3 linked regions of the Anolis sagrei genome follow. The main gene of each other region encodes a partner of the protein of the gene in region 2 in a complex. Links are inferred from orthologs where the notes say so. Each region holds a gene or a part of one and is shown on either strand. Other genes may lie near its edges.

What was found.
Region 1: the proteins of DGCR8 (region 2) and DROSHA are in contact, whole or in part, in a crystal structure (PDB 5B16), measured with the Homo sapiens proteins. The link is inferred for Anolis sagrei from reciprocal best matches to the Homo sapiens genes DGCR8 and DROSHA. Residues at the interface, in NP_073557.3 of Homo sapiens: Asn728, Ile731, Leu732, Lys734, Leu735, Gln736, Glu738, Met739, Lys740, Leu742, Ala743, Arg746, Arg750; in NP_001369437.1 of Homo sapiens: Leu984, Leu987, Phe988, Thr998, Tyr999, Thr1001, Ala1002, Ile1003, Gln1005, His1008, Phe1069, Asp1073, Leu1074, Glu1076, Val1077, Trp1078, Asn1080, Pro1082.
Region 3: the proteins of DGCR8 (region 2) and ERH are in contact, whole or in part, in a crystal structure (PDB 7CNC), measured with the Homo sapiens proteins. The link is inferred for Anolis sagrei from reciprocal best matches to the Homo sapiens genes DGCR8 and ERH. Residues at the interface, in NP_073557.3 of Homo sapiens: Lys107, Phe108, Ser109, Pro110, Asp111, Leu112, Leu114, Leu115; in NP_004441.1 of Homo sapiens: Val8, Pro10, Thr11, Thr18, Tyr19, Ala20, Glu27, Lys34, Met35, His39, Arg42, Met43, Phe60, Leu64.

The regions. Positions count from the first base shown.
Region 1 is NC_090024.1:91,653,087-91,663,347, forward strand, and holds the start of DROSHA (ribonuclease 3), read left to right. Parts: upstream 1-5,933; 5' UTR 5,934-6,130; intron 6,131-10,261. Other genes in the region: C4H5orf22 (UPF0489 protein C5orf22 homolog), read right to left, coding at 987-1,132, 5,698-5,790. UniProt on the Homo sapiens protein: Ribonuclease III double-stranded (ds) RNA-specific endoribonuclease that is involved in the initial step of microRNA (miRNA) biogenesis.
Region 2 is NC_090034.1:35,703,433-35,712,769, forward strand, and holds the start of DGCR8 (microprocessor complex subunit DGCR8), read left to right. Parts: upstream 1-4,968; 5' UTR 4,969-5,073; intron 5,074-9,337.
Region 3 is NC_090021.1:283,408,684-283,418,917, forward strand, and holds the start of ERH (enhancer of rudimentary homolog), read right to left. Parts: upstream 4,567-10,234; 5' UTR 4,463-4,566; coding exon 4,460-4,462; intron 1,680-4,459; coding exon 1,592-1,679; intron 962-1,591; coding exon 841-961; intron 1-840. Other genes in the region: SLC39A9 (zinc transporter ZIP9), read left to right, coding at 5,248-5,343. UniProt on the Homo sapiens protein: May have a role in the cell cycle.

The sequences.
Region 1 (10,261 bases), on a different chromosome or scaffold from region 2:
ACATGAGCAAACAGTAGGAAAAAAATTGAAACTTTTGTGATCAGCAATCTAAGGGTGAATCTACACTGTAGAATTAATGGTTTGGCTTTACTTTAACTGCCATGGGTTTTCTATTCTTTTCTATGGCACACAGCAAACAGAGGAATTGATCAGCAACTGAATGTACTAGCGAGGTTTGGGGAGAATTAACCATAATTTATAGGAATTGAAGGTACTGAGATGTATAGTTCACCTGCAATCTAAGAGCACTCTGAACTCCACCAACAATGAACCTGGAACTAACTTGGCACATAGAGTCCCCATGACCAAACAAAAAATACTGGAGGTCTTTGGAGGGAATCTATAGAAGTTGTAGTTCACCTACATCCAAAGCACACTATGAACCCAAACAATGATGGATTTGGACCAAACTTAGTACACAGAACCCCTATGACTAACTCAACCTACTGGAGGGATTTGAGGGGAATGATTCACCATAGTGGGAGTTGTAGTTTACCCTACAGCCAAAGAGTACACTGAACCCCACCAATGATGCATCCAGAGCAAAACTGCCCAACATAACTTTAAGTACTGATAGAGTGTTTTTGGGTTAACCTGGCATGATTTAAGTTGTAGTTCACCCACAACCTTATGTATTTTGTGTAATTTAAAATTTGACCTTTTCAAATAATCCGGACAATGCTAGGTACCCAAGCTAGTAGAATTTAAAAATAAGGCAAATGCAAACACATATGAATATAATATAATATAATATAATATAATATAATATTATATATATATATATATATATATATATATATATATATATATATATATAATTTAATATTTGTATCATGAGCGTAAAACTTAAAATATTACATTATAATTCTGTGATGTTGGGTTGGTCCAGAAATGAAGCAAGACATCAAAGGCAAAGGAAACCACACTCTTTACTTCCTGTATGCATAAAAATCTAGTGTATGAACAATCAGATCACAGGATCCTACCTAAACAGAGCTTCTTTGTCAAACACTGTGTCTGCAGGCATATTCACTGGGATGAGAAGATCTGGGTGAGAATCCAAATGGACAAAGCTGATGTTGCAGGCAGGAAGGTGCTTCGAACCAATGCCTCGGTAAATGAAAGGAAGAACCTAAAATAACAATGATACACAAGCATTTAAATCGAGGCAAAGACAGATTATAGAGAGCTGGGCCAAAAATCAACCAAACATTCCAACAGGAAGAATTGTATAGTACTATGCTTATGCAGAAAAAAACACCTGGCTTTACAACAGTACATGTAAAAAAGATATTGGAGTCTTAGTAGACCACAAGCTGAATATGAGGCAATAGTGTGAAGAAGCAGCAGCTTAAAAAGCCAATGCAATTCTAGGCTGCATCAATAGGAGCATAGTGTCGAAATTTGGGGGAAGCCATGTTGCCTCTGATCATACCTCGCCTAAAATACTGTGTGCAGTTTTGGGCATCAAAAAGGATATTGACAAGCTAGAATGTGTCCAGAGAAGTGTGATCAAAATAGCAAAAGGTCTGGAAGCCGAGCACCATTTGGAGTGACTTATACAGAGTTGGATATATTTAGCCTGGAGAAGGAAAGGTTAAGGGATGACATAACAACCAAGTCTAAATATTTGAAAAGGTGTCATGTTGAAGTTAGAGCCAGCTTATATTTCAGTGTCCCAGATATGAAGCAATGCATTCAAACTGAAAGAGATTCCACCTAAATATTAGGAAGAGCTGTTAGTGGAATATATTGCTTCAGAGTGTGGTAGACTCTCCTCTTCTGGAGGTTTTTGAACAAGACGCTGGGTGGCCATCTGTTGGGACTGCTTTGATTGGGTGTGTCTACATAGATGTTGGAATGGATGGCTCTTGGTGTCTCTTCCAACTCTATGATTCTATGATAAACTGTTATTGAGAAAGAGGGAGTCAATTGAGAAGAGCAACCGGCCACCAGCTCAACATGACAGTGAGATAGTGAATTCACTTCAGGCATTAAACTAACCTTTAAGGCAACTATCCAATGTGCTGAACCTTGCATAAAATATATTAAGTCACTTGGAGAGCCCCATTAAAACTAGCTGAAACCTCAAGTGGGTTTGCCACCTTGCAGACATGTGAGCTACCCACCACCACAAGAGGTAACTCAGCGTGCATTTTTACAGCCCAGTCTGTGTATATGTGTTTTGTGTGTGTGTATATGTGTATATGTATGTGTTTGCATATATGTGTGTGTGTGTGTGCATATATATATGGTTTTGCGCATGCGTTGTAATGTTGTTGTTTTTTGGCATTTTAAGTCTCTTCTGCTGTGTTTTTCAGTGTTTTTAATTAGTGATGGTCACTCATTGGCCTGATAGGTGTATTGTGTCCAAATTTGGTGTCAATTCGTCCAGTGGTTTTTGAGTTATGTTAATCCCACAAATGAACATTACATTTTTATTTATATAGATCAACCCAGTTTGACACCATTTTAACTGCCATGTATCATTTCAAATGGTCTTTGGTTGGAGTCCTGGTGCCTCACAATCTACAGGATTCCATAGCATTGTGCCATGGCAGTTAAAATGGTGTCAAACTGGAATAACTACGCAGTGTAAATGCACCCTAGGAATTCTTAGGGCCCTTTCGCACAACCATATAACCCAGAATATCAAAGCAGAAAATCCCACAATGTCTGCTTTGAACTGGGTTATCTGAGTCCACAGTGCCACATATTCCAGTTCAAATAAAAAAATGTGGGATTTTATCCAGGTATGTGGAAGGGGCCTTACTATAACCTTACTGCAGCCTATTCCTACACATTGTTACACATAAAGAGCAACTCCCAATAAAAAAGTTGCTGAATGCCACCAATGTCCACAAATTTGTTAGCAACAACGTGAAGTATTTACACTGGATTTTGTAGGAGATGGATTCAAAGGGCCCTGCCCTAAAGTTCCAATGAATGGTTGAAAATGTCAAAACTTTTTTTTTAATTCCCAAAAAACAGTAGATGTATGAATATTTCTGAAAGTTGTGGGGAACCATCACCTATTATCTTGTGTCATTGTACAGAAAATTCAAGCAGATTGCTCTTGTGGTTTTTTTAAGTTGTTTATAAAAACTTTGAAAATTCCCCAAAAATCCATAGATGAGTGAAACCTTCTGAAATTTGGTGAGCTAACAGTGCCAAATATGTTCTGCCACGGCAGCACGTTTCATTCCATTAGCTTTAAAAATGAGGGAGATAGGAGCCCATGAACTTTCTCCAATTTGAGTAATTACATGCAATTACAGTAACGGAAAAGAAATGAAATTCCGTTACTCACGTTATAGTAACGATTTTTCCCCAGTAAGAATACTTTGGAAACACTTTAGAAACGAAATGCCAGTTTTGTAATGACTTTTGAGCCATTTTTTTTAATGGATCGCACATCCCTAATTAAATAATAGTTGACACCACTGTTATGGCTCAACACTATGGAATCCTGGGATTTGCTACTTCATCACACTAGAGAAAGAATAATAACAACACTTTATTTATATTCCGCCCTTCTCACTCCGAAGGGGACTCATGGCGGATCACAGCACACATACATGGCAAATATTCAATACACAAACAGACAGAACAGAAAGGAGGTGTTATCGACTCAGTGTCCAGCTGTTTTTGGTGCCAAGAAAAGTGAGTCCAACCACAGGGGGTGCTGTTGCTCCATTTGCTATGACAAAGAGCTGTCAGAACTTCCTCCTTCCTCTTTGGTTGCCCAGCATTTTCTAATATTCTTTCCTTATGGCACCGTAAAACACCTCCCCCACTTTTAGCAGTACCTAATTTCTCTAATTACACCGAAAGCTGTTTCTGAACTGCTTAGGTAAACAGTGAGCTAGGCTGACAGTCGACCGCTCACACCGACCTGAGGCTTTGAACTTGCAACCTTTGGGTTAACAGATCTTATAGTTGCTGGTGATTTACCAGCTGTGCTAAGCCGCCTGGGTGATAGTATGATAGCTGGATCCGGAAGCTCCGAGCATTACGGAGATGCCACAAAGGTGAGTGTGAATAAGGGAAGGGGGGGGCAGGAGTGAGAATGGGGAGAGAGAAGTAAGGATAGAAAGGAGGGGATGCTTTGGGTAAGGTTTAGGACAAGGTTTAGGGTTTGGGTTAGGGTTATAGTAAGGTTAGAGGTTTCAGTTAGGGTATGGTTTAGGGTTAGGGTAAGGTTTTGGGTTTGCGTAAGGATTAGAGTAAGGGCTTAGACTTATGCTGCTGTTAGGGTTTCACCATTAAAGAACTTGGTGATAGTATGATAGCTGGGTCTGGAAGCTCCCAGCATTACGGAGATGCCACAAAGACGGGTGGGGAAAAGGGAAGAGAGGGGGTGGAGTGAGAGCAGGGAGAGCGAAGGAAGGATAGAAAGGAGGGGACGCTTAGGGTAAGGGTTAGAGCAGGGTTTGGGGTTTGGGTTAGCGTAAGGGTTAGGATAAGGGTTAGGATAAGGCTTAGGGTTATGGTAAGGGTTTGGATAAGGGGTTAGGCTAAGGCTTACGGTATGGTTCAGGGTTAGGGTTTGGGTAAGGTTTAGCGTAAGAGGTTAGGCTTAGGGTTTGGGTAAGAGGTTAGGCTTAGTCTTACGGTATGGTTCAGGGTTTGGGTAAGGGTTAGGGCAAGGGGTTAGGGTTAGGTTAAGAGTTTAGGCTTAGGCTTATGATATGGTTCAGGGTTAGGGTAAGGGGTTTGGGTTAGGGTAATGGTTTAGGCTTATGGTATGGTTCAGAGTTAGGGTTTGGGCTTAGACTTCCGGTACGGTTCAGAGTTAGAGTTTCACCATTAAAGAACTCTTACATTCCTTCTATATTATCTGCCTCCGGCCTGGCTTACATTAGCTAAGTCTTTCTTGCGCAAACAGCGCTCCTGAAGGAGCGATGCGGCATCTTGCACGGAGCTTCCAGACCCAGCTATCTTACTATTACCACCTCTGGTGGCACAGTGGGTTAAACCCCTGTGCCGGCTGGACTGAAGACCTACAGGTTGTAGATTCGAATCAGGGGAGAGTGTGGATGAGCTCCCTCTATCAGCTCCAGCTTCTCATGTGGCGACATGAGAGAAGCCTCTGACAAGGATGGTAAAACATCAAAAACATCCGGGCGTCCCTTGAGCAACGTCCTTGCAGACAGCCAATTCTCCCACACTAGAGATTTTCAAGCAAAATTCTCAAGCTGCATCATTTTATATTAATTAAATCATAAACACCATAATTAAACAAAGAATAGAACTTTGGACACATGTATAAAATCATGCAGTTTCTCAAGTCACTCCTGATACGACAAAATAAACAAACAAACAAACAAATAAATAATAAGCAACCACCTCCTGCCCAATGAATCCCCTCTAAATCCGGTTTCTGCCTCCTGCAGAATTCTGGGGTTTGTAGTTTAGTGATGCTGTTAAAGAGTCCTCCCTAAACTACAAATCCCAGAATTCTTCAGGAGTCAGGAGGAGGTAGCAACCAGATTTAAAGTGGAATCATTCTCTAGTGTGATGAGATCCTAACAGTGAGGTATCATAGCATTCTTTTGGGAAACAGTAGCTTGTCAAGTGACAACCATCTCCATGGCAGCTGAAGCGGTGTGGATGCCCCCTGAGTCACTGCTGAAGTCAGAAGTGGGGTCAAAGGGCCCTCATTCCGCTTGCAGTAAGCAGTCGCGCAGTGCTTACGTCGTGATGGTCCTCCACCACCCAGACCGGCAGCGCTGTGTAGAGCCTCCGCGAGCTCCCCGCCCCGCCTTCTTCCTCCTCCTCGCCGCTCATCTCGAACGCTCGAAGACCCAAAACCGAACGCTGCGGCCGGTAACGTTCCAAGGCCCGGGCGCCGGCAGCCTTCCGGGGGGAAGCCTCTCGAGGTGACACAGGCGGCAGGCATGGTGGGAAAGCGAGGAGGAGGAGGAGCAGGAGGCGGAGCCATGGACCTCAAGCCGCCGGAGGGAAGAGGGAAGAGGCCAACAAAGGGCGCCGATGCCGCTTCCCTCCCTTTGCAAGAGGCACAAACACAGGGCTGCCCAAGGCGTCTTCCCCTCTGATGTCTTCCTCCGGCCCTTTCCTCTTCCGGGGCTCTCCCGCCCTTTCCCCCCTCCGCCAGCCCGGATTCTAGGTAAGCTTCTTCCTCCAGATCTCTGCTGTAGACTGCACGCAGCTTGGCTCCATGCTGTCCTGGGGTTTGCCGTCCACACTCTTGCCAAACCCAATTCTGCATGGCTGCATTCATTCTACAAAGGCAGAGCTCCTTTGCTGTGGATGCCTTCCTCCCCGGGCCCTTCCACACTGCTGTGGAGCCCAGATTATCAAGGCAGACAATCCCACAATATCTGCTTTGAACTGAGTCCACACTGCCATATAGAGCTGCGTGGAAAGGGCCTATGATTATAAAATCCGAGATGATGTCCCCTTCCCTTCCTCCAGCACTCTTTGGCAGGAAAGACTCTAAAGAACTTGCAAAACTACAACTCCCAGGATCCCTCCTTATTCCCATAACATTGAGGCCCCTTCTGCACTGCTATATTATCCAGATTACCAAATTGGATAATCCACATTATCCTCTTTGAACTGGATTATATGACTTCACATTTTTATTCATCTTGTCAGGAGCAGACCGAACAGTTGCGGTGCCTTTTTTAACAAACAAACAAACTAACAAATAGACAGACAAAACACAAAGTTTGCAAGCTTGGTAGTTGATTAAATGTCCTTTGACCAGTATCTGGCCACTTGGAGTGCCTCTGGCGTTGCCGCAAGGAGGTCCTCCATTGTGCATGTGGCTGGGCTCAGGTTGCATTGCAGCAGGTGGTCAGTGGTTTGCTCTTCTCCACACTCGCATGTCGTGGATTCCACTTTGTAGCCCCATTTCTTAAGATTGGCTCTGCATCTCGTGGTGCCAGAGCGCAGTCTGTTCAGCGCCTTCCAAGTCGCCCAGTTTTCTGTGTGCCCAGGTGGGAGTCTCTCATTTGGTATCAGCCATTGATTGAGGTTCTGGGTTTGAGCCTGCCACTTTTGGACTCTCGCTTGCTGAGGTGTTCCACCGAGTGTCTCTGTAGATCTTAGAAAACTATTTCTTGATTTAAGTCGTTGACTTGCTGGCTGATACCCAAACAAGGGATGAGCTGGAGATTTATTATTTATTTATTTACTTTGCTTATATACCGCTGTATCTCAAGCCCGAAGGCGACTCACGGCGGTTCACAAACAGTAAAAACAGTAGAAACAGCAGTGGTTCCATACAGCATATAACAATTGACTTAACACATTATCCATAAATTACCAATAAGCAATTACAATGCACAATTATTACAAAAAACAACCGTACCCAATCTTCTCATCATCCAAGCGTAGTCCAGGTTCGTCGTCCATTGTTCCATTCCTATGTTCCATTACCAGATTGCACTAAATTACTCAAACGCCTGCACAAACATCCAGGTCTTCACCTTTTTGCCTCTGCCTTGGTCCTTTCACTATTGGCTGCTACTTCCTGGCGGATGTCAGGTGGTGCAATACCAGCTAAACAGTGTAATTTCTCCAGTGGTGTAGGGCGCAGACACTCTGTGATAATGCTGGTAGGCTGTTAGGAATGGTGGGAGTTGAAGTTGAAAACACCTGAAGAGCCAAAGTTTGCCCATGCCTGCTATAGAGCTTTTACAAAACCCTTGGCCTTCTCTGGCAAAGAGTGTTGATGTTCCAGTAAACAACAACTCCCACAACACAGCCATAATAAATTCTTGTTCTCTTGGCTTTTAGGTCTGTTCCTGGAGTTATAGGGTTCAGAAAATTGGATTGGGTAGACTGCATAAGCTCCGGTTTCTTAGATATGATTTTCTGTGGGTGAACAGATGGCGACTGGTGGGTGATGATAAGAGAAAACTGGTGCCATTTTTTGGAACTAGAAGATCAAATATACGCAGAAACAGGGCTAACATTCAAGGCACCAAAATGTTGGCCAGCGAAGCATTGAGATGTGTCAGTTAAAAGTGGTGCCAGAGTGCATTAATTCTACTGTGTAGATCAGTGGTTCCCAACCATTTTTTTTGACCAAGGACCACATTGACCAGGGACCACTTTCCAATATTAGTACCAAAAGGGTTAGGAATTGGTTGTTGGTCAACTTTACATTTGGTTTAGTTATTTGGGGTGCTGAAAATTGCATTGGATAGAGCACAGCAGCTCTAGCTTCTGATACAGAAAGTTTGCCATCCAGTAGTCGCCATCTGCTCAACCACAGAAAACCATATTTCATAAGCTGGTGTGGTAGTACTAATCTTTCATGGGTAGTCAGCCTCTCCCCTCCTGACAGCCTTGTTGCCTTGGCATGATAAGAGGGTTTTGAGAGACCAGTCGCTCTCGTTTGCCGCATGTTTTCGAAGCAATGGTGTAGTCATGGTGATGCCACAGACCATATTTTCGTTCTTGGGGACCACTGGTGGTCCACGGACCACAGGTTGGGAACCGCTGATATAGTGGGCCCAAGTATCCTAAATGTGCCAGATCCTGTCTGATCTTGGAAGCTTAACAGCCCTGGTTAGCACTTTGAACAGAGATTTCCAATGAATACCAAGTTCTGTAGGCTATATTTCAGAGAAAGGATCACTTAAAACCTGTGAGTATTGCCTGAGGAAACTCCATGAAATTCATATAGTTGCCATTGTTAGGGACTTACACACTTAAGAGAAGCTGATAACTAAAATATTGTTATTATTTTACTGACACAAAAACATAGTATATTACAGCAAACGAGATCTATATGCTGGATTTCATATCACAAAATCACAAGTTGAACACTTCCCAAGCATCTAGGACTGTGTGGTGTATTTTCAAATGATTTGTGGAGATCCAAGCAAGGTGGCCTTTTGGAGTTGACAGATCATGATTTTGCCAATGTTTATTGTTTCCAAATGCTGGCTGAGATCTTTTGGCATGGCACGCAGTGCACCAATGACCACTGGGACCACCTGTACTGGTTTATGCCAGAGCCTTTGCAGTTCGATTTTGAGATCCTGATAACGGCTGAGTTTTTCCTGTTGTTTTTCCTCAATGTGACTGTCACCTGGTATGGCGACATCAATAATCCAATTTTTTTCTTTTCCACAATCGTGATGTCTGGTGTATTGTGTTCGAAAACTTTGTCAGTCTGGATTTGAAACTCCCACAGTATTTCTGTATGTTCATTTTCTACAACCTTTGCTGGTAGGTTGTACTTGTGACGTAAATTCCAGTGAATTATTTGGGCGACAGAGTTGTGCCTTTGTTTGTAGTCCGTCTGTGTGATTTTCTTGCAACAGCTGAGGCTATGTTGTTGCAATTATTGTTATTATTATTGCTAATACCAATCAGTTCATGTTTATGTTTATGTTTTTTGCTGTTGTGGTTCCTTAGCAATTGAACAGATTGGAAGAAAAAAAAGTTGGTACACTCTCTAGTCAAAATAAGAAGTGATATGATCTGATTTAACCCCATTTTCAGGATTATTTCTTTCTTTCTTTCCGAGCTAAACCCATTTTCAGGATGTCTTTCTTTCTTTCTTTCTTGGAAGGTGAACGTCCAACGAGTTAGGACCATCCCTCTAGACAAGAACTGTTGTTTTATTTGCTCTGAGATTTTATTTTTCACTTTTAGCGAGACTTGTGTTTCCTGTTTGAATGTATCTCCAAGAAAAAGGCCTGATCTTGCACGAAGAACCCTTCCTTTCAACATGAAAGATTTTTTTATATCTTGTAGTGCATTGGGGTTCTCACTGGGATCAGAAACATTGCAAGGGTTCTTATTTTAGCTGGACACAGTCAGTGTCATGATCCCCAAATGGAAGTACTGTCACAAGAAAAGAATCAAAGTCACAAAGGAATCCAGAAGCACCTTTGAGACTATCAAAACCGCCTGAAGAAGCCATTTCAAGTATAGCTTTTGTGGATACAGTCCGTTTTTGTCAGATACATTTGATGAAGTAGGCAGTGTTCACAGTAAGAGATATTAGAAATGTCTTCTTTTCCATTAGTCTCAAATACGCTATTGGATTCTTTTGTATCTTTTAATCCTAAAGCAGATTAACGTAGCTATCTTTTTGAAGAGAAAAGAATGGCTACCCTAAGGCCATCTAAGTGAGTTGGTGGCTCCACGGAGATTGTCGAGCGGAAAAAAAATCCATAAGGCTCATGAATGTAGTGGTGGTGGGGAGATGTACAGTATTGAATACTCTTAGTAATGCAATGCTTGTATTATAGCGGAACAACTTTGTTCGCTC
Region 2 (9,337 bases):
ATGGTTTTATAAAAGCCTGCAGAGCCAGGGTGGGTTATCAGCTTTCAGGTGAGGGTGTATCTTTAGATGATCTAGACCCCCTCCCTCCTGACCTTTCCTTAAAAAAAACTTATAACCTGGCTGTGAGGTCAAGCTGCTGAGCAATAATTTGGAATAACTGGGAAGAGAATATTTTTAACAACCGCAATGGTTTGACCTGGACGATGTTTTAAACCAGCTAACTGTTTTAAAGTGATTGTTTTATAACGGTGTTATTGTGTTCAATTGTATCGTGATTTTAATGTATTGTATTGGCACCGTGGGTTGCCTGTTGTAAGCTGTCCTGAGTCCCTCTCTGGGCGTGAGAAGGACCGGGTATAAATGCCCGAAATAAATAAATAAATAATAGTCCTCTGCCTCTCCATAAGCTAAAGTTCATAGATGAGCTTTGTTTTCTAAAGTTTTCTAAAGGAGAGGAGGGAAGGGGCCATTTTTATTTCTTTGGGAAGGGAGTTCCAGAGGCAGAAGGCAATCATGAAGAAGGCCCCCTCTCTCGTTCCCACCAGCCGCGCTTGAGAGGGGAGTGGGACCGAGAGCAGGGCCTCCTCCGCTGACTGCAGTGCCCAAGGTGGTACAGGGAGATGTGGTATGTCAAATAGCCTGGATCCAAACCGTTTAGGGCTTTATAAGTAACTAGCTGTGCCCTGCCACGTGTTGCTGTGGCCTATAGTAAAACTTATCAAAGTTGAGGTAGATATCTGGACTATTATGAAAGAGAGGTACCTACCTATTCCTTCCCCCTTTTCCTCCCCCTTTCTCTCCTTTCTTCCTTCTCTACCTCTTTCTTTCTTTCCTTCTTTCACTACTTGGTTTCATCCTTCTCTCTTTCCTTCATTCCCTCCCCCTTTCTTCCTTTGCCTTTCTTCCCTCCCTGTTTGCTTCCTTCTTTCACTTTTTATTTCCTTTTATTTCACCATCATCATAACAATAACAATAATGCAATGCATTGCCTCTGGGACCTGACACCTCTCCCATTCCCCCTAAAAGGGTCTAATAGAAATAATAGCATAATAATAATAATAGAAATAACAACCTTTACCCGCCACGTGTTGCTGTGGCCAACCTTCCCTCTTTCTCTCCTTCTTTCCCTCTTTCCTTCCTTCCCTCCCTCCCATCTTTCCTTCTCCTCTTCCTTCTCTATCTCTTTCCTTCCTTCCCCCTTTTTCTTTCTCTTCTGGTCTCTTTTCTTCCTTCTCTATTTCCTTCTTTCCTTCCCTCCCTCTTTCTCTACATCTTCCCCCTTCCTTCACTCCCTCTTTCCTTCCTTCATTCCCTTTTTTCTTTCCTTCTCTCCTTCCTTCCTTCGTTCCCTTTTTTCTTTCCTTCTCTCCTTCCTTCCTTCCCCCTTTTTCTTTCCCTCCCTCTGTCTCTCATTTCTTCCTTCTCTACCTCTTTCCTTCCTTCCCCCTTTTTCTTTCTCTTCTGCGGCTGGGCGCCAATGCGCATGCTCAGTTGTTTTGCCATTTTGTGAGTGTGTTTGTGTTGTTTTTCATTTTGAGTAGATATGTTTGTACCTTGTGGGTTGTGTTATGGGCATGGGAATTTTGGTTAAGTTTCATTGGGGTTTTTTAGAGTTTTGCTGTCCCGTTGAACCAACCTAACAGATTTATATATATAGATAACCAGCCCTTTGTATTAGCCCGGAAGCAGACCGACAGCCAGTGGAGCTGCTGTTACATAGGAGTTGTGCGCTCCCTATACAGCACTCCAGTTAGTAAACTCTGAACCAGTTGAACTGCTGAACAATCTTCACAGGCAGCCCCATGTGGAAAACATTGCAGTCGTCTAGATAGGATGTGACTAAAGCGTGGACTACAATGGCCAGATCTGGTGCCTCAAGGTACAGGCACAGCTGGTGCACACGTTTTAATTGTGCAAAGGCGCTCCTGGCCACCGCCAACACCTGAGGCTCCCAGGAGAACCCCCAAGTTGCAAACCTGTATCTTCAGGGGGAATGTAACCTCGTCCAACACAGGCTGTAACCTTTACCCTGATATGCTTCTGACTGACCAGGAGTACCTCCAGGGCCGGCTCAACCCATTACGCAAAGTAAGCATTTGCAGTATAGTTGATCTTGACCAGGGGCGCTCTTGAGGCCTTCTTGGGGGAAAATAGACCTTGACATATGTGAGTTATAGTTACTGGGATGTATAGTTCACCTACAATCAAAGAGCATTCTGAACTCCACCAATGATGGAATTGAACCAAATATGGCACACAGAACTCCCACGATGAACAGAAAATATATATCAGTAATTGGTTGGGGGGGGGGGGCAAACTACTGTTTGCTTACTGTTGAAAATTACCTTGGGCCGCCTTTGAGTACCTCTGTCTTGACTGGGTTGAATTTCAAAATGTTTGCCCTCATTCAGTCCATTACTGATGACACGCACCAGTTTAGGACCAGGGTGACATGGAAAGGAGTACTAGAGTTGGGTGTTATCACCATAAATTTGACACCAAACTCCAAAATTTGGGATGATCTCTTCCAGTGGTTTCAAGTAAATGTTAAACAGCATGGGGGGGGGGGGCAGAATTGAACCCTGAGGGACCCCGCAGGACAATGACCACGGAGTTGAACAGGAGTCCCCCAGCTGTAGAACACTGCCCCTTAATCCCATCCCAGAGAGACGGCTCAGTAGGATACCATAGCCAATGGTATCGAAATCTGCTGAGAGGCCCAGGAGAACCAACAGGGACATACTTCCCTTGTCTAGCTCTCTTTGTCAATCATCCACCAAGGTGATCAATGCTGTCTCAGACATGATACAGACATGTCATAGAGGGCATCAAATGGCTGCCAGGTTGTAAGCCGCCCTGAGTCACCTCCAGGTTCAAGAAAGGCGGGATAGAAGTATCGTAAATAAATAAAACAAATAATGATTAGATCCACATCATGGGGAACGCAAAACCATACCGGGGAAGCAGGTGGAAATGTTATCCTCCTTGAGGCAAAGAGAAATATCTTATAAGTCTTGCTTAATTCCAAACAGCAAAACTATACAATTCAAATAAGCCCAAACTAGAGGGCTTCCAATAGATCCCACAATGGAAACATCTCACATTGCTGTGAAACTCTTTCGTTGTTTTTTTTTAAGCCCCATCTAATCTGCCTGTTAATAACATCCATTCCCTGCTGTGTTTCTAGCTGTTGATGTTTTAAAGCTTTTTTTCAGGAGTCAAAAGGGAGGGGGGAGGGTCTAAAGAAAGGGGTGACAAAAGTGTGCCTGACACTTAAACTATCAGGAAATGATGTGCAGGAGGGATGCCTTAGCCATACCTGCATCCTCCTCCCCTCCATCTTCATCTACCTTAATGACTGCCAACCAGTTCAAAGTGTAAAAAGAGACTGACCCCTTTTAAGTTGGGGGAGGGGCAGACCCAAACCAAGGGAAGGAAGGAAAGAGTTGAAAGGGGGGAAGGAAGGCAAGGGAGGGAGAGAAAAGGAAAGGCAAAGGGGAGGGGAAGGAAAGGAGGGAGAAAGAGGTCAAGAAAGGGAGAGGGAAAAGAAGGAAGAAGGAAGATGAAAGGAAAGGCAAAAGGGAGAGAAAGGAAAGGAGGGAGAAAAGGGTTAGGAAAGGGGGAGGAGAAAAAAGGAAGGAGGGGAGAAAAAGAGGAAAGGAAAGGGGGGAGAAAGAGGTCAAGAAAGGGAGAGGGAAAAGAAGGAAGAAGGGAGATGAAAGGAAAGGGAAAAGGGAGGAAGGAAGGAGGGGAGAAAAAGAGGAAAGGAAAGGGGGGGAGAAAGAGGTCAAGAAAGGGAGAGGGAAAAGAAGGAAGAAGGGAGATGAAAGGAAAGGGAAAAGGGAGGGAGGGAGGAGGGGAGAAAAAGAGGAAAGGAAAGGGGGTAGAAAGAGGTCAGGAAAGGGAGAGGGAAAAGTAGGAAGGGGGAGATGAAAGGAAAGGCAAAAGGGAGGAAGGAAGGAGGGGAGAAAAAGAGGAAAGGGGGGAGAAAGAGGTAGGGAAAGGGAGAGGGAAAAGAAGGAAGGAGGGAGATGAAAGGAAAGGCAAAAGGGAGGAAGGAAGGAGGGGAGAAAAAGAGGAAAGGGGGGAGAAAGAGGTAGGGAAAGGGAGAGGGAAAAGAAGGAAGGAGGGAGATGAAAGGAAAGGCAAAAGGGAGGGAGGAAGGAGGAGAGAAAAAGAGGAAAGGGGGGAGAAAGAGGTAGGGAAAGGGAGAGGGAAAAGAAGGAAGGAGGGAGATGAAAGGAAAGGCAAAAGGGAGAGAAAGGAAAGGAGGGAGAAAAGGGTTAGGAAAGGGGGAGGAGAAAAAAGGAAGGAGGGGAGAAAAGAGGAAAGGAAAGGGGGGAGAAAGAGGTCAAGAAAGGGAGAGGGAAAAGAAGGAAGAAGGGAGATGAAAGGAAAGGGAAAAGGGAGGAAGGAAGGAGGGGAGAAAAAGAGGAAAGGAAAGGGGGGAGAAAGAGGTCAGGAAAGGGAGAGGGAAAAGTAGGAAGGGGGAGATGAAAGGAAAGGCAAAAGGGAGGAAGGAAGGAGGGGAGAAAAAGAGGAAAGGGGGAAGAAAGAGGTAGGGAAAGGGAGAGGGAAAAGTAAGAAGGTGAGATGAAAGGAAAGGCAAAAGGGAAGAAGGGAGGAGGGGAGAAAAAGAGGAAAGGGGGGAGAAAGAGGTAGGGAAAGGGAGAGGGAAAAGAAGGAAGGGGGAGATGAAAGGAAAGGCAAAAGGGAGGAAGGGAGGAGGGAAGGAAAAAGGAAAGGAAAGGAGGGAGAAAGAGGTCAGGAAAGGGAGAGGGAAAAGCAGGAAAAAGGGAGATGAAAGGAAAGGCAAAAGGGGGATGGAAGAGGAAAGGAAAGGGGGGAAAGAGGTAGGGAAAGGGAGAGGGAAAAGAAGGAGGGAGGGAGATGACAGGAAAGGCAAAAGGAGGAAAGGAAGGAGAAAGAGTTGAGGCTGAGCTGTGCGGCAGTCCCAGGGCAGGCCAGGAGGGGGAGAAGTTGGGACAGGAAAGCGAGGGAGGGATCCTTGAAGAGGCCCGCAGCGGGAGCGGGGCTTGGCGGCACGATGGCGGAAGCTGGGGGTCTGGACGAGTGAGTGAGTGAGTGAGTGAGTGAGTGAGTGGGGGGCGGGGCAATGGGGGCTCTTTGTGGCTGGCACCTATTGAGAGAGAGAGAGAGAGAGAGAGAGAGAGAGAGAGAGGGCAGCAGGAAGCCCTGCCTGGCGTTTCCAAACAAGCCAGTTCCAACAAGTCCTCCTTGCCTAACTTTCTGTGCGGGAAGCCCCGCCCCCTTGGGCCGCTTTGGCTCAAGGCAATGGCTTCCTGGTGATATTGCTCGACCACACTGGGAGCTGTAGTTTGGCAAGCCTCCTCTCCCCAGGAGGGCAATTCAAATGTGTGGCAGGAGGGCCTCTGCTGAGCATCTCAGGGCCTGGGCATCACCTGCACTGCCCTGTCATCCAGTTGAACTGCATGATATGAGGCCACACTGCTACAGAATGCCACCCCACTGCATCACATGGCAGTGTAGATGGGGCCACAGTCTGCCAGGTTTTTTGTTTTTTTTATCGTGTCAAAAGCGACTTGAGAAACTGCAAGTCGATTCTGGTGTGAGAGAATTGGCCATCTGCAGAGACATTGCCCAGGGGATGGCCGGATGTGTTACCATCCTGGGGGAGGCTTCTCTCATGTCCCTGCATGGGAAGCTGGAGCTGACAGATGGGAGCTCACTCCATCTCACGGATTCAAACCACCAACCTTCAGGTCAGCAGTTTAGCCGACACAAGGGTTTAACCCATTGCTCCACCGTGGTTCCTAGTCTGCCAGGTAGCCTGAACCCAAGCCATATAGGGCTATAGACTTTTGATTTCCTAAAAGGCTGTTGGAAACGCAACGCAGTCCTGTTTGTGTCTTCCGCCTGATCGCTCCACTTAAAATATAAGTTTCTATTCATTAAATTGGGAAGGTGTACAAGAGCGGAGGAAAGAAGTTCCTGGGTGCAGCATTATGCACTGGCCATTTGGTAAGAGTCTTGGTCCATGTGTTACAACACAAACATTAGTGGTACAGTGGCTAATAATAATAATAATTATTATTATTATTATTATATACTATGTAACAAAATTTGAAAAAAAATCTGTTCCTGGTTTGAGAGTGTTATTTCCTGTTTAATTGTGCAGTACAAGCTGGAATGTGTTCAGAGGAGGGGGACTAAAAGGATCAAGGGTCTGGAGAACAAGACCTATGAGGAGTGGCTTAAAGAACTGGGCATGTTTAGCCTGCAGAAGAGAAGGCTGAGAGGAGACATGACAAGGGCCAGGGCTGTAGCCAAGGGGGAGGGGGTTTAGGGGTTCAAATGGCTATATCTCTAAGGGCAGTCTTTCTTTGCGGCCAATATTGCGTCCACAAGGAACCATCCAGCGGAGCAGTTTCAAGTAGTCAGAGGGTTGTTAAATCCCATCTCCCAAGACGGGATCCCTGACAACTTTGCAGCTCACTGTGAAGCATTTGCTCGGTTCTTTGCGGACCAAGTTGCTCTGATCCACTCCAGCTTGGACACCATGTTAACGGCAATGTCTGAGGATGTAACACAAGCACCTGCTTGTCTGGTTTTGATGGCTTCATTTCAATTGGTGCAGCTCAAGGATGTGGATAAGATACTAGGAGAGGTGAGAGCAACCACATGCATCCTTGACCCCTGTCCATCCTGGCTGGTAAAGGAGGCCAGATGGGGCTTGGCAGAGTTGGTGAAGGTGGTGGTTAATGTCTCCTTACAGGTAGGTAAGATTCCAGCCAGCTTAAAACAAGCTGTAATAAAACCGCTGTTGAAGAAACCATCACTGGGCCCCACTCAATTCCTCAACTTTCAGCCAGCTTCCAATCTCCCCCTTTTAGGCAAAGTCCTGGAATGTGTGGTGGCCTCACAACTCCAGGTGTTCTTGGAAGACATGGATTATGTAGATCCAGTGCAGTCTGTTATCTAGATCCAGTGCAGCCTGGCTTTAGGCAAGGTCATGGAACTGAAACAGCCATGGTTGCCTTAGTGGATGATCTATGCCAGAAACTAGACAGGGGGAGTGTGTCCCTGTTGGTTCTGCTGGACCTTTCAGTGGCCTTTGATAACATAGACCACAGTATCCTTCTGGGACGCCTCGTGGGAATGGGTCTTGGAGGTACTGTTCTGCAGTTGCTCCGGTCCTTCCTGGAGGGCCGTTCCCAGAAGGTCTTTTTGGGGGACACCTGTTCATCCCCACAGCCATTGTCCTGTGGGGTCCCGTAGGGCTCAATACTGTCTCCCAAGTTGTTTAACATCTACATGAAGTCGTTGGGGGAGATCGTCCGGAGTTTTGGAGTTTTATTTCATCTGTACGCAGATGACGTTCAACTCTATCACTCCTTTCCACCTGCTACTAAGGAGGCTGTTCAGGTCCTGAACCAGTGCTTGGCAACTGTGATGGTCTGGAAGAGGGCAAAGAAATTGAAATTGAATCCAGACAAGTCAGAAGTACTCCTGGTCAGTTGTAAGGCTGAACATGACATAGAGTTACAGCCTGTGTTGGATAGTGTTACACTCCCCCTGAAGGTGCAGATTCACAGTTTTGGGAGTTCTCTTGGACTCATTGTTGAGCCTGGAACTCCAGGTTTCAGTAGTGGCCAGGGGAACATTTGCACAATTAAAACTTATGCACCAGTTGCCTCTGTATCTTGGGAAGTTAGACTTGGCCATGGTAGTCCATACTCTTGTTACATCCCGTATAGACTGTTGCAATATGCTCTATGTGGGGTTGCCTTTGAAGACTGTTCGGAAGCTTCAACTGTTCGGAAGCTTCGGAAGCTTCAAGTGGTCCAATGTGCAGCAGCCAGATTGCTCACTGGAGAGGCATACAGGGAGCGCACCACCCCCCTATTACATCAGCTCTACTGGCTGCCAGTCTGCTACTAAACACAATTTAAAGTACTAGCTTTAGCCTATATAGCCCTAAATGGTTCCAGCCCAGCTTACCTGTCCAAACACATCTCCCCCTATAAATCTCAGAGTTTAAGATCATCTGGGGAGGCCCTGCTCTCAATCCTTCCAGGCGCAATTGGCGGGGACAAAAGACAGGGCCTTCTCGGTGGTGGCCCCTCAGCTGTGGAATTCCCTCCCCAGGGATATTAGATCAGCTTCCTCTCTCCTGACCTTCCATAAGAGAGTGTAAATGTGGCTCTGTGACCAAGCGTTTGGAGAACTTGTGCAATAGATAGATATGGAATGATGTGCAATGACTATTGGAATGGCCTGGATTATGCTTGAGGATTATGTGATTGATTGTGAAGATATTGTCTTAAATGTTTTTAATTGTTTTAATGTATTTTATAATTCTACTAGCCGTCCCCTGCCATGCATTGCTATGTCCCAGTCTGGTGATTATAGAATTATAGAATCATAGAGTTGGAAGAGACCTCATGGGCCAGTCCAACCCCCTGCCAAGAAGCAGGAAAACTGCATTCAAATCACCCCTGACAGATGGCCATCCAGACTCTGTTTAAAAGCTTCCAAAGAAGGAGACTCCACTACACTCCGGGGCAGAGAGTTTCACTGCTGAACAGTTCTCACAGTCAGGAAGTTCTTCCTCGTGTTCAGATGGAATCTCCTTTCTACTAAAGATCAATAGAGGCAGATGGACCTCAAGGAGGGCGGTCTGTAAATCTCTGGCCTAATTCTATCAAAGAGACCACCAGAAGTCAGAGTGAAGGCCATAACATGGTTCCATAGAGACTATCAATCATGTGATCGCTCTACTTGTCTTCTAATTACACCTGAAGACAATTCGTGGCTCAGCGAGCTGTTAGCAATTCGATCTTGCTTAAAAGAATGGGGCATTACCATCAGAAAGGTGTTTGTGGATCCCTATGTTCGCCCCCTTGTTGACACAGTGGAACTTCTCACCATGTTCCATCTGCCTTAGCTAGCAGATGTGGTCTCCAATTCGGCTCTGGTCTCCCAGCACTTGATTGTGCCATGTTCCATCTGGTTCCAGTGATAAATCCACAAATAACTCACCGGTTAGGACCCCCACATCTGCACAGTATCAGTTTGAAACCCCAACTGTACTCGTCCCCACTCAATCGGCACACTCTCCTGCCCAAAGACACTACCTCTTTTTAGCCTTCTTAGTTCCCTTGATGATTCCCTTTCTACGTTGACATCGGAAACATCTTTATATGACCTCCAAGGGAAATCACACCCTAGCTTCCCTTCTTTAGAGAGTTGACTAGCCACTGAATCTAATCCCGGGGGGGGGGGGTTCCGGAGGAGACGGGCACCATTCAGGTCGTGTGGGGGAGGAGATTTGCTGGTCACCAACATCCCAGGG
Region 3 (10,234 bases), on a different chromosome or scaffold from region 2:
TTTGCTTTATGACCTCCACTAAAACACGCTCTCCTCCGCAAATAATCTGTCCTTGTTTATCTTGCCTGAGTTTTTAATCTGTTTCTACCCAGTTTTCTTTTATCCATTACATGTAGCTCGCCCATGTTATTGTGATTGTGTTTATTGTAATGTTATATTGCTATGTTATCTTTTGTTTTATGTAATTGCGTTATTATTGTTTATTATTTGCATTTTCGGTTTTGTTTTATTTCATGTAATTGTTGTTTTGGGCTTGACCTCATGTAAGCCGCACTGAGTCCCCATCGGGGAGATGGAGTGGGGTACAAATAAAGTTTATTATTATTACATAAATGTAGCAGCATGAATGACGACTAAGGACTAGGGCTATGTTTTAACCGTTTTAATTGTATTAATATGTTTTATCTGTTTTGTTTCTTAAGGTGATGAATTTATATATTTGTATTAGCAATGTGACATTGAAATTGCCAAAACTGTAAGCCGCTCTGAGTCCCCATCAGGGTGAGACAGAGAGGGGTAGAAATATAGTAAATAAATAAATAAACTAGGACTCTGGGACACCAGAATTTGAATATCTACTCAGCTACAGAAACCCACTGGACAAGATTTCTATACTTATACATGACTATACAAGGTACTTCCAGTCTCAGAGAAAAGCAATGAGGTATTTCCTTTTAATAAATCTTGCCAGGAAAACCCATGAGAAGTTTGCTTTAGAAGTGCCATAACCCAGAAATGACTTGAAGGCACACAGCAACAAAACTCTATACAAATGCAACCATATATGTCTAAGCAAGAGAAGATATATATTTATAGAAGTTAAAAGTATAAAATACTCACACAAGGCAGCTGAGGTCAGCCAAATCATCAATAAAATCAAATAATTGGCTAATATCATATGTGATTGAAGGGCTGTTTGGATTCATTCTCTTCAAATGTTCTTCATACATTTTGCAAACTCCTAAGAAAAAAGAATATCCAGTATCTACAAGAGGCATTCATGAAACCCCACACTGCTACTGAAAATCTAGATGTCAAATATAAGAAAAGAGAATCAGTGCACATCCAAGCAAATGACATCTGATCAATTGAATGTTAGCAAATTAAGCTTTCATGTAGATAAATTTACAAATAAATTATTCTGCAGAAGTAAAAAAATTCAAACACTGAAGTACAAATTGAATCTGAAGATTTTAACTTTGGCTTTCAAAGTGTTTTTCCTCTCTGTGGCACTAGACTTGACCAAATACTTTAACAGTGTTAGCACCTCCATGTATCAATTTATTATTCTTATTAAAATTATAAACTTTCTCATATCTTCTGATTGGGTAAAAATTGACACATGATATCTGGCTCTAATAGAAAAATCCTTATTTTCAAGCAAAGTAGCATACTGCATCCTAGATACACTAGATTCAAAAAGATCTGATTCAGTCAGAGGAGTCATTGCGACATCTCCAAAATAAAACACACAACCACGCAAGAGCCAATAATTGCTTCTTCAGTTATTGGCTTAACTGGCCAGGTTTAAAAGGAATCCCCAACTTTTAACATTGATTTAGCATCAAGTAATCTACAGCAGGAATATTACCTTCCATGCACTCATTCACAGATTCATAATCAGCGTAAGTTCTGCCTTCTGGTCGTTTGGTAGGCTGAACAAGCAAAATTGTGTGAGACTGTACAAAAGCAAACACAACATTTATTTAGACTTCTGAATGTACCAGAATAAAGCATGTTATTTACATCAAATGCTGAAGTGTACTAATCATACAAAAATAATGCAAACACTGAAGAACAATGGCTATTTCCCCCGCCCTGTCCTATTTTAATTTTCTACGTAAAATAGGTTTGTTTTTAAGGATGTATTGCACAATGGGAAAATTTCATGATAGAGAATAGAATTTAACTGAATGTATGTTATGGCCACATGCAGAAAATAAGATGCAATTTCACACTAATTTCAGTACCACCAACAACAAAGCTTTATATATATATATGCATGATTCTAATGTGAACCCCCCTTTTAGAGGTATTTAAAAGAGAGAAAAGTGCATCTTAGAATGAAAGAAATGTGATATATATTTAAAAATGAAGATTTGGAAAAATACTCTTGACAACTAGAATGTTAAGCAGACAAGCTATTTATTGAAGTGCCAACTGCTAGCAGCTTGCCAAATGAAATTATTTTTAAATATTAGGATGATTGCAAGCTTTCTACGTGGGAACATGGGACTGCTTTGGTCATTCATTGAAAGTTTCTGATCAGTACAGCATGCCAGTTAGTAAGTAGTAGACTATGTGGAACAGCTATGTTCACAAAGTAAAAGGTCAAAAAATGAGGCTTACTCTCAGTTAATTGCACATATAACAGTAGCCCAACTACACATCTATTATGGGTACACAGGTGAAATCCTGATATATATAATATATTTGGTTCAATACATTGCTTTTAAATTATGGATATACCTATTACTAATTTTAACAAGTTCTGTCTCTAAGGAAAATAATCAAGCATATATTTTACTAGAAGAAATACACTGAATAAAAAAATAATAATTTGTGAGTGGGTTCTTTTTCAGAGTCCAGCAAAAAGACCTCTTAAAGAAATCTTTCTCATTTGGAGTGTGTGAAATGCTTTTTAAGATAAATTTTTACAAAATATACAATTTACTAGCATGGTTTTACATAAGAGAACCTACAGCTTTAGACTACAATAGCATGGCCCATTATGTTTGGTCTCAGGATGCCTGTAGACAACAAAATCCATGGATGCTCCCAAGTTTCATTCATACACAATTCGAATTTATTTATTTAGAACATTTATATTCCGTCCTATTCTCGACCTCCGAGGAGGGACTCAGAGCGGCTACCAGCAGGCAACAATTCGATGTTAATACAATATAAAAACAGCAATAAAATACACAATTGCATTAAATGATTTTAAATATACATTAAAAACAGTTTACCGGGTTTAAAACATCCTCCACATCAGTCCAAATTACGGTCCATAAAATCTCAACTTCACCATCTATTCTATTTGCAGACGACACCAATTTGGGAAGGATAGCCAATACTCCAGAAGACAGGAGCAGAATTCAAAATGATCTTAACAGATTAGAGAGATGGGCCAAACTAACAAAATGAAGTTCAACAGTGACAAATGCAAGATACTCCACTTAGGCAGAAAAAAGGAAATGTAAAGATACAGAATGGGGGACGCATGGCTTGGGAGCAGTACGTGTGAAAAAGGTCTTGGGGTCCTCGTGGACAAGAAGTTAAACATGAGTCAACAATGTGATGCACCGGCAAAGAAAGCCAATGGGATTTTGGCCTGCATCAATAGGAGTATAGTGTCTAGATCTAGGGAAGTAATGCTGCCCCTCTATTCTGCCTTTGTTAGATCACATCTGGAATATTGTGTCCAATTACACCGCCGTGAGTCGCTCCAGGGCTGAGAACGGCGGTCTACAAGTGCAGTAAATAAATAAATAAATAATTCTGGGCACCACAATTGACATGTTGGAATGTGTCCAGAGGAGGGTGACTAAAGTGATCAAGGGTCTGGAGAACAAGCCCTATGAGGGGTGGCTTAAAGAGCTGGGCATGTTTAGCCTGAAGAAGAGAAGGCTGAGAGGAGACATGATAGCCATACATAAATACGTGAGAGGAAATCATAAGGAGGCTTGTTTTCAGCTGCCCTGGAGACTAGGATGCGGAGCAATGGCTTCAAACTACAAGAAAGGAGATTCCATCTGAACATTAGGAAGAACTTCCTGACTGTGAGAGCCGTTCAGCAGTGGAACTCTCTGCCCCGGAGTGTGATGGAAGCTCCTCCTTTGGAAGCTTTTAAACAGAGGCTAGATGGCCATCTGTCAGGGGTGCTTTGAACGCAATTTTCCTGCTTCTTGGCAGGGGGTTGGACTGGATGGCCCATGAGGTCTCTTCCAACTGTTTGATTCTATTCTACGAATTGTGTCCCTTAAGCGGCTGAGGGGGAAAAGGAAGGGGCCTGAGGCTGTTAGGAATGATGGGAGTTGGAGTCCAAAACACGTGGAGGGCCAGAGTTTGCCCTTGCCTGCTCTACACGGTCCTTAGCGTCCTCTACCAAACGGTGCTGGCACCTCACGAAACTGCTACCTCTCAGGATTCCATAGCATGGCGCCATGGAAGTCAAAGTGGCGTGAAACTGAATTAATTCTCCAGTGTGGATGCACTCTGTCTCGCTAAGGTCGACTTAGGGAAGTCTTGGGAGGGCGAGGAGGGAGGGCTTCGCTGTTTCTCAGAGGCCACGCATAATAGGCTTTGTAGAGACCGACCCTCGCCCCTCGCCATTGCCTCCTCGCCTTTAGGCCCGAAGCCTTCTCAAGTGAACTGCGAGGCACCAAGCGAAAAGCCTCCGCCTCCTTCAGTCAATTCCGAGTCTCTTCGCCGCTCAAAACCCCCTCTCTGAACTCACCATGGCGATTCTTTTCTGTTCGGCTCGGGCGCGAAGCAAACTCCTAACGACTTCTCAACCACAATGCTCCGCGGCCGCCGGAAACTGACTGTAGACTCCAAATCCCGCACGAGAACCATAGAGGTGCCACCGTTTTCTGAGGAGAGCCGCAGGAGGTAGAGCGTCAACAGCGCCAGCCTCGCGAGATCTCACTTCTGCGTTGACTTTTCCTCGCGCGGGAGACGAAAGCGGCCATCTTTGGTCAGGGCGCCGGAGTAGTGTAGTCGAGGCCCGCCTTAGGAATGGCTAGCGGTGGGCGGGGCGGCGTTGACCTTCGTTCGCTTCGCCGCCATCTTAAAATTGGGCGGGAAAGAAAGGAGCGAATCCAGCGAGGCCTGCTCGCTCGTACGCCTCTCTTTCACTGCCAAGTGTTCCGGAAGTTAAGGAAGGGAAGAGGAAGTGAGGGAGAAGCTGCCACTTGGCCCTTGATGGCCGCTTCTGAGGCGGAGGAGGAGGACTCCACTCGCAGTGGCGGCGGTGGGACAGTGAGGGGCAGGTGGTGAGGGCCCGGGGCCTGAACCTGAGGCACTTCCTCCCTTCTCCTCCTCAGGAAGGTTGTGTGAGGGCCTTGGCGAGCTTCCTCTTCTCGCCCGTGCCTCTTCTCGCCCGCCCTCCGTTAGAGAAGGGCCCCCAGCCTCGAAGCAGAGTGCTGCCCGCTTTCCTGCCGCCCACCCCGGGTGTTTCGGGCCCATGAGGCCTCTTCCCTTTCTGGAATTCCCTGGGAAACTGTAACGTAAGAGGAGCCGGCCATGGACGACTTCTTGTCGATCAGCCTGCTGTCTCTAGCGATGCTGGTGGGCTGCTATGTGGCAGGCATCATCCCGCTAGCCGTAAACTTTTCCGAGGTAAGCAGGCCTTCTCTCACTGCTCTGTTCTCCCTTTTCACATCAGAGTGTTAAGAAAGGAGTGCTTCTTCACCAGGCATGGGCAAACTTGGGCTCTCCAGATGTTTTGGACTTCAATTCCTAACAGTCTCAGGCCCTTTCTTTTTCCTCTTCAGCTGCTTCAGCGTTTTAGGCATAATGAGGGCTGTACTGATGCTTTTGCCAAAAACTGGGACATGTACAGAATTAGAAAGATCTCTGTTAAATTCCTATTTATTTATTTGGAGTGCTTCTACTCCGCCCTTCTCAACCCCCTAGGGGGGACTCAGGGCGGCTTAGAAAAGGCACAATTCGATGCCCAACAATTCACAAAGTACAATTTACAATTTAACATCAACAGTTATTACTAGTTAAAACGATCAAATCAATCAATCCCACCTGAACAATCTGGAGGGTCTCATGAACCTGCTTGGGGGGGGGGGGTAGTGCTATAGATCTAACTGGGAGACAAGTCACTACCAAATGTGACACTGATCCCACTCTGGATGACAGCACTAGGAGAATATGATGCACTAATTGGACCCATAAAAGATACTTCACCCCTAAACCTTAAATACAAATGGTGGAGGGCCAGGCTATTCAGCCAAGCTCCCATTTGAACCAGTTATGGCTTGACACTCAGAAAACTGACCTTACTATTACTTTACTGGAATACCTTCTGCAGCTACATTTACCTTTATTGTGCTAAAAACCTATTATGTGCAATTCAGACAATTTGCTGGCTTTAATATCCCATCCTGTGGCTAATGTATGTGTTGGTAGGTTATGATCACCCCTCAGCCTTTGTTTAAGATCAAGTGTACCTTAAGCAGCTGAGGGGGAAAAGGAAAAGTACTGGGGCTGTTAGGAATTGTGGGAGTTGAAGTCCAAAACATCTGGAGGGGCCAAGTTTGTCCATACCTGTTCTATGCTGTCGAATCAGCGCACTTTGATACTATGTTCAGCTTGGAGAAGATGACTGAAATGATCTGAGACAAAGCTCTTTGAGAAGCAGGTGAGGGAACTAGGGATGTTTATCTGGAGAGAGGAAGGCTGAGAGGGGACATGACAACCATGTTTCATAAGTGAAAGGATGTCACATTGAGGAAATGGCAAACGTGTTTTCTGCTGCTCTGGAGACTAGGGGCCCTTCCACACAGTCATATAACCCACAATATCAAGGCAGAAAATCCCACAATATCTTCTTTGACCTGGGTTATCTGAGCCCACATTGACATATATTACAATTCAAAGCAGATAATGTGATATTTTATTCAGTGGTTTGGTTGTATGCTGCAGCCACAGACCACCAACTACAATGCAACCTGAGCCCTGCCGTATGCACAGCAAAGGACCTTCCCATAGCAACACCAGAGGCACTCCAAATGAACAGCTCCTGTTCAAAGGACATTTAGAATAATGCCAAGTTTTTAAACTTCCTTTGTGGTTTTAAATACATTATAATTATGTCTTCAGTTACCTTCTGACGTGATAAATAACGTGGTTAACAGTGAAGGTATTGTTTTATATGTTTTAATGTATCATATAATTCTATTTTAAAGGTTTATTTTATTTGTACATTGCCTTTGAAGGCATTGAATAGTTGCCTAAGTGAAAGCCGCCTTGAGTCCCCTCCGGGGTGGAGAAAGGCAAGATAGAAATAAATAAATGAAAATTCAGCTCTGAGGCCTAGGAGAAACAATGGATTCAAGTTATAGGAAAAAAGATTCCATGTGAACATTCAGAAGAACTTCCTGACAGTAAGCGCTGTTCAACAGGAATATGAACAGCTCTTTATGTGCCTCAGGCCCCTGCTACACTGCCATATCATCCAGATTATCAAAGTAAATAATCCACATTATCTGTTTTGAACTGTATTCTATGAGTCTGTAGTGCCATATACTCCAGTTCAAAGCGGATAATCTGGATTTTAGATGTAGAAGTGGCCTCAGAATGTGATGGAATCTCCAACTCTGGAGGTTTCTAAGCAGATCTTGGGTGGCTGTCCATAGGGACAGCTTTGATTGTGTATTCCTGCATGTCAAGGAGTTGGATTGCATGGCTCTTGTGGACTTCTAGCTCTATGATTCTGTGAACTGCCATGCTATGGAATCCTGGGAAATGTAGTTCCGCAAGGCAAAGACCTTGAGATACTAGAACTCCCAGGACTCAATAGCATCGAACCATGACAGTTAAAGTGAAGTCGAATTGCATTAATTCTGCAGTCTAGATGCATCCCTAGTGGATAAAGTTTCAGTGGATGGGAAATACACTCTTGTAAAAAGGAGTAGGAGTAGGCTTCTTAAAAGGAGTAAGGAAACAAGTAGGAGATCTTAAGGATAAGGAATTGAACAGATGCTCTGAAAGTCTACCAGGAGAGAGAAAACTGCACATTCCAGTTAGCTCTGATCTATATTGCATAATTCTGATTGGGTTCAATTATTTGAGGCGTAAGATGTGACAAAAGCTCTGGTTCCTTAAAAAGAAAATCTTGAGTGATGTGGGATTACCTAGGATTACTTCTGTATGGCAGTAAGCACTTTCTGAGTAAAATCTTTTCAAAACAGATAGCAAAGCATACACCACAATGGTGTTAACCCTTCCCTATGCTATCATAAGCTAATATAGATGTATTTTTGGCAGGTGTTATATTTAAAAATGCACCTGTTCCAACTTACAAATTCAACTTAAGAACAAGCCTACATAACCTATCTTGTTTGTAACTTGGAGACTGCCTGTATATACTTCAGTCTATATATATGTACTCTGAAATGGGTCTCATTGAGGTCAGTGAAGCTTCTAGGGAAATATGGGATTGTAGCAGAATGAGAACACTCAAGGGAGCACTGTAGATTATTATAATATATATACTAATGGGTAAAAAGTAACATGCAATGTGGAAATTATGCTGATTATAGCAGTGTGCGAAGTTTTCTCTCTCTCACTCTGATATCCATAATGTCTACCACCAGGCCTGCATAAATCATAGATCACAAACTTCCCAGCATTCTTGATGTATCTATGAGCTACAGAGGCAGTTACTTACTTGCTTGGATGACCTTATTTTTTCTGACTGGCTAAATAAAAAGCTGGTTCTATATCTCTGGTTTTTCCAAAAGAAATACAGTTAATCTTGTTTTCTAAAACATACAGGGCAGATTATTTCCAAACCATGTACTCCATGCACACACAAACACCTTGCATCCAATACACATTCTAATCCCTGTCAAAATATTTCTTAACTGACTGGAGAAAAATGAGAATGTTTCAGTATTGCTGATTTTAAAACATTTTCCAATTGTTTATTCCTTAACTATCATAAAATTTTATCATTTTTGTATAGAACTAACAGTGCAAATCTAAATCATGTTGGTGATGTCTGTAAAGTGGTGCACCTGTCACTGCTTCCAAAGCCCTGCAGGTACACATTGGATGGAATGGGAAGAATGTCTGTGTCTCCTTTATGTGTGTTTTACATATTTATCACTGATTCCAGTGTGTGGCAGATATTTAGAACAGCTTCAGGTTGACATAGAGGAGTCCAGTTGTAGGTTCTTCCAAGTGAACAAATCTGGTGGATCTCAGATTGCCAGCCACCTTCTCCTAGGCCTACTGCAAGCTCCTGTGTAGATTGATGCACTTGGTGTTTTGTAGAGATAATATGCAAGAAATTTTGGGTTTAAAGAAAGCTATCCAGTAGGGTCAGAGTTTCTTTTCCCCATATATTTATTTTATTCATTAATATAATCCCACATGCACTGGGATTTCATTTGTTTGTAATAAAAAACCCCAGATAATTTTGCTTCCAAACTGCATTTATGCAAAGCTATTAAGGTAGACCACATACTAAAAGACAATGGCTGTAATCCTATAGGTGAATTTGGAAGCAAGTTCTGTTAACTAATGTGGATTTTAACAGTATATTGGTCTGAAACAAATGTCCATGATTTCTTATAAACGGGGAGGTTAGATTTACTGGGGAAATAATTTCTCAAGTGAGGTGGAAAAGTTTATGCTTAGCTCTTAGGGTAGTACAATAGTCCTATATTGTCATAATTTGCCAACTTGTAACCTTGAATATAGTTGTGCATAAAGCAGAAACACAAGAATTGCTATAATTGTTCCATATATGTAGTGTAAGGAACATGTGACCCTGGAGATCCTGATTAACTATACTTTACATCAACTATTAGCCAGTCTCCCTGGGAGTTGATGGAAAGTGGAGATCAACAGCATTCTAGGGTTGGGGGATGGATTCCCCAATCTTTCTATGCAAAAGCCTTGAAGGTGAACCACCATGAATATTTGGAAGTAATGATCACAGAAAAATGTAAAATAAATAAAATAGTGTTACATTTCTTGGATTTTAGTGTCTGCAACAACTTGGCAGTTCCAAATAACAAATAGCATTTTATTAGTTAAGTTATTTTTACAACTTATTCTGAGATATCAGGTGCTTTGTTAATAGTTCCGTGTTGTGCAGAAAAGCTTATTTACGTATATTTCACAATTATAGTGGTTCAATTTTAAGAAATTAAAATTGCATCACGCAGTTTCGGCTGCTATATTTTTGAAATAATTTACAGAATAAAAACTATGCATTCATGCAATCCTTTTTTACACTGAAAATGTAAAAAATCAAGACCATGTATATCAATAAAAATGGTTAGTGAAGAAAGAATGAAGCTCATTGATTGCAATTATTAGTCTGCTAGAGATATGCTTGTGGAACAATTAAAGTAAAGCAGTTTAAAACATATGCCCTGTATGTGGCACTCATCACAAATGGGTGGAAGAATTGGGATCAGGTGAGGTTTCAGAACAGTCTTACATAGACTGTATCAGTGGAATAGAATGTAAATAATGTGTGTTC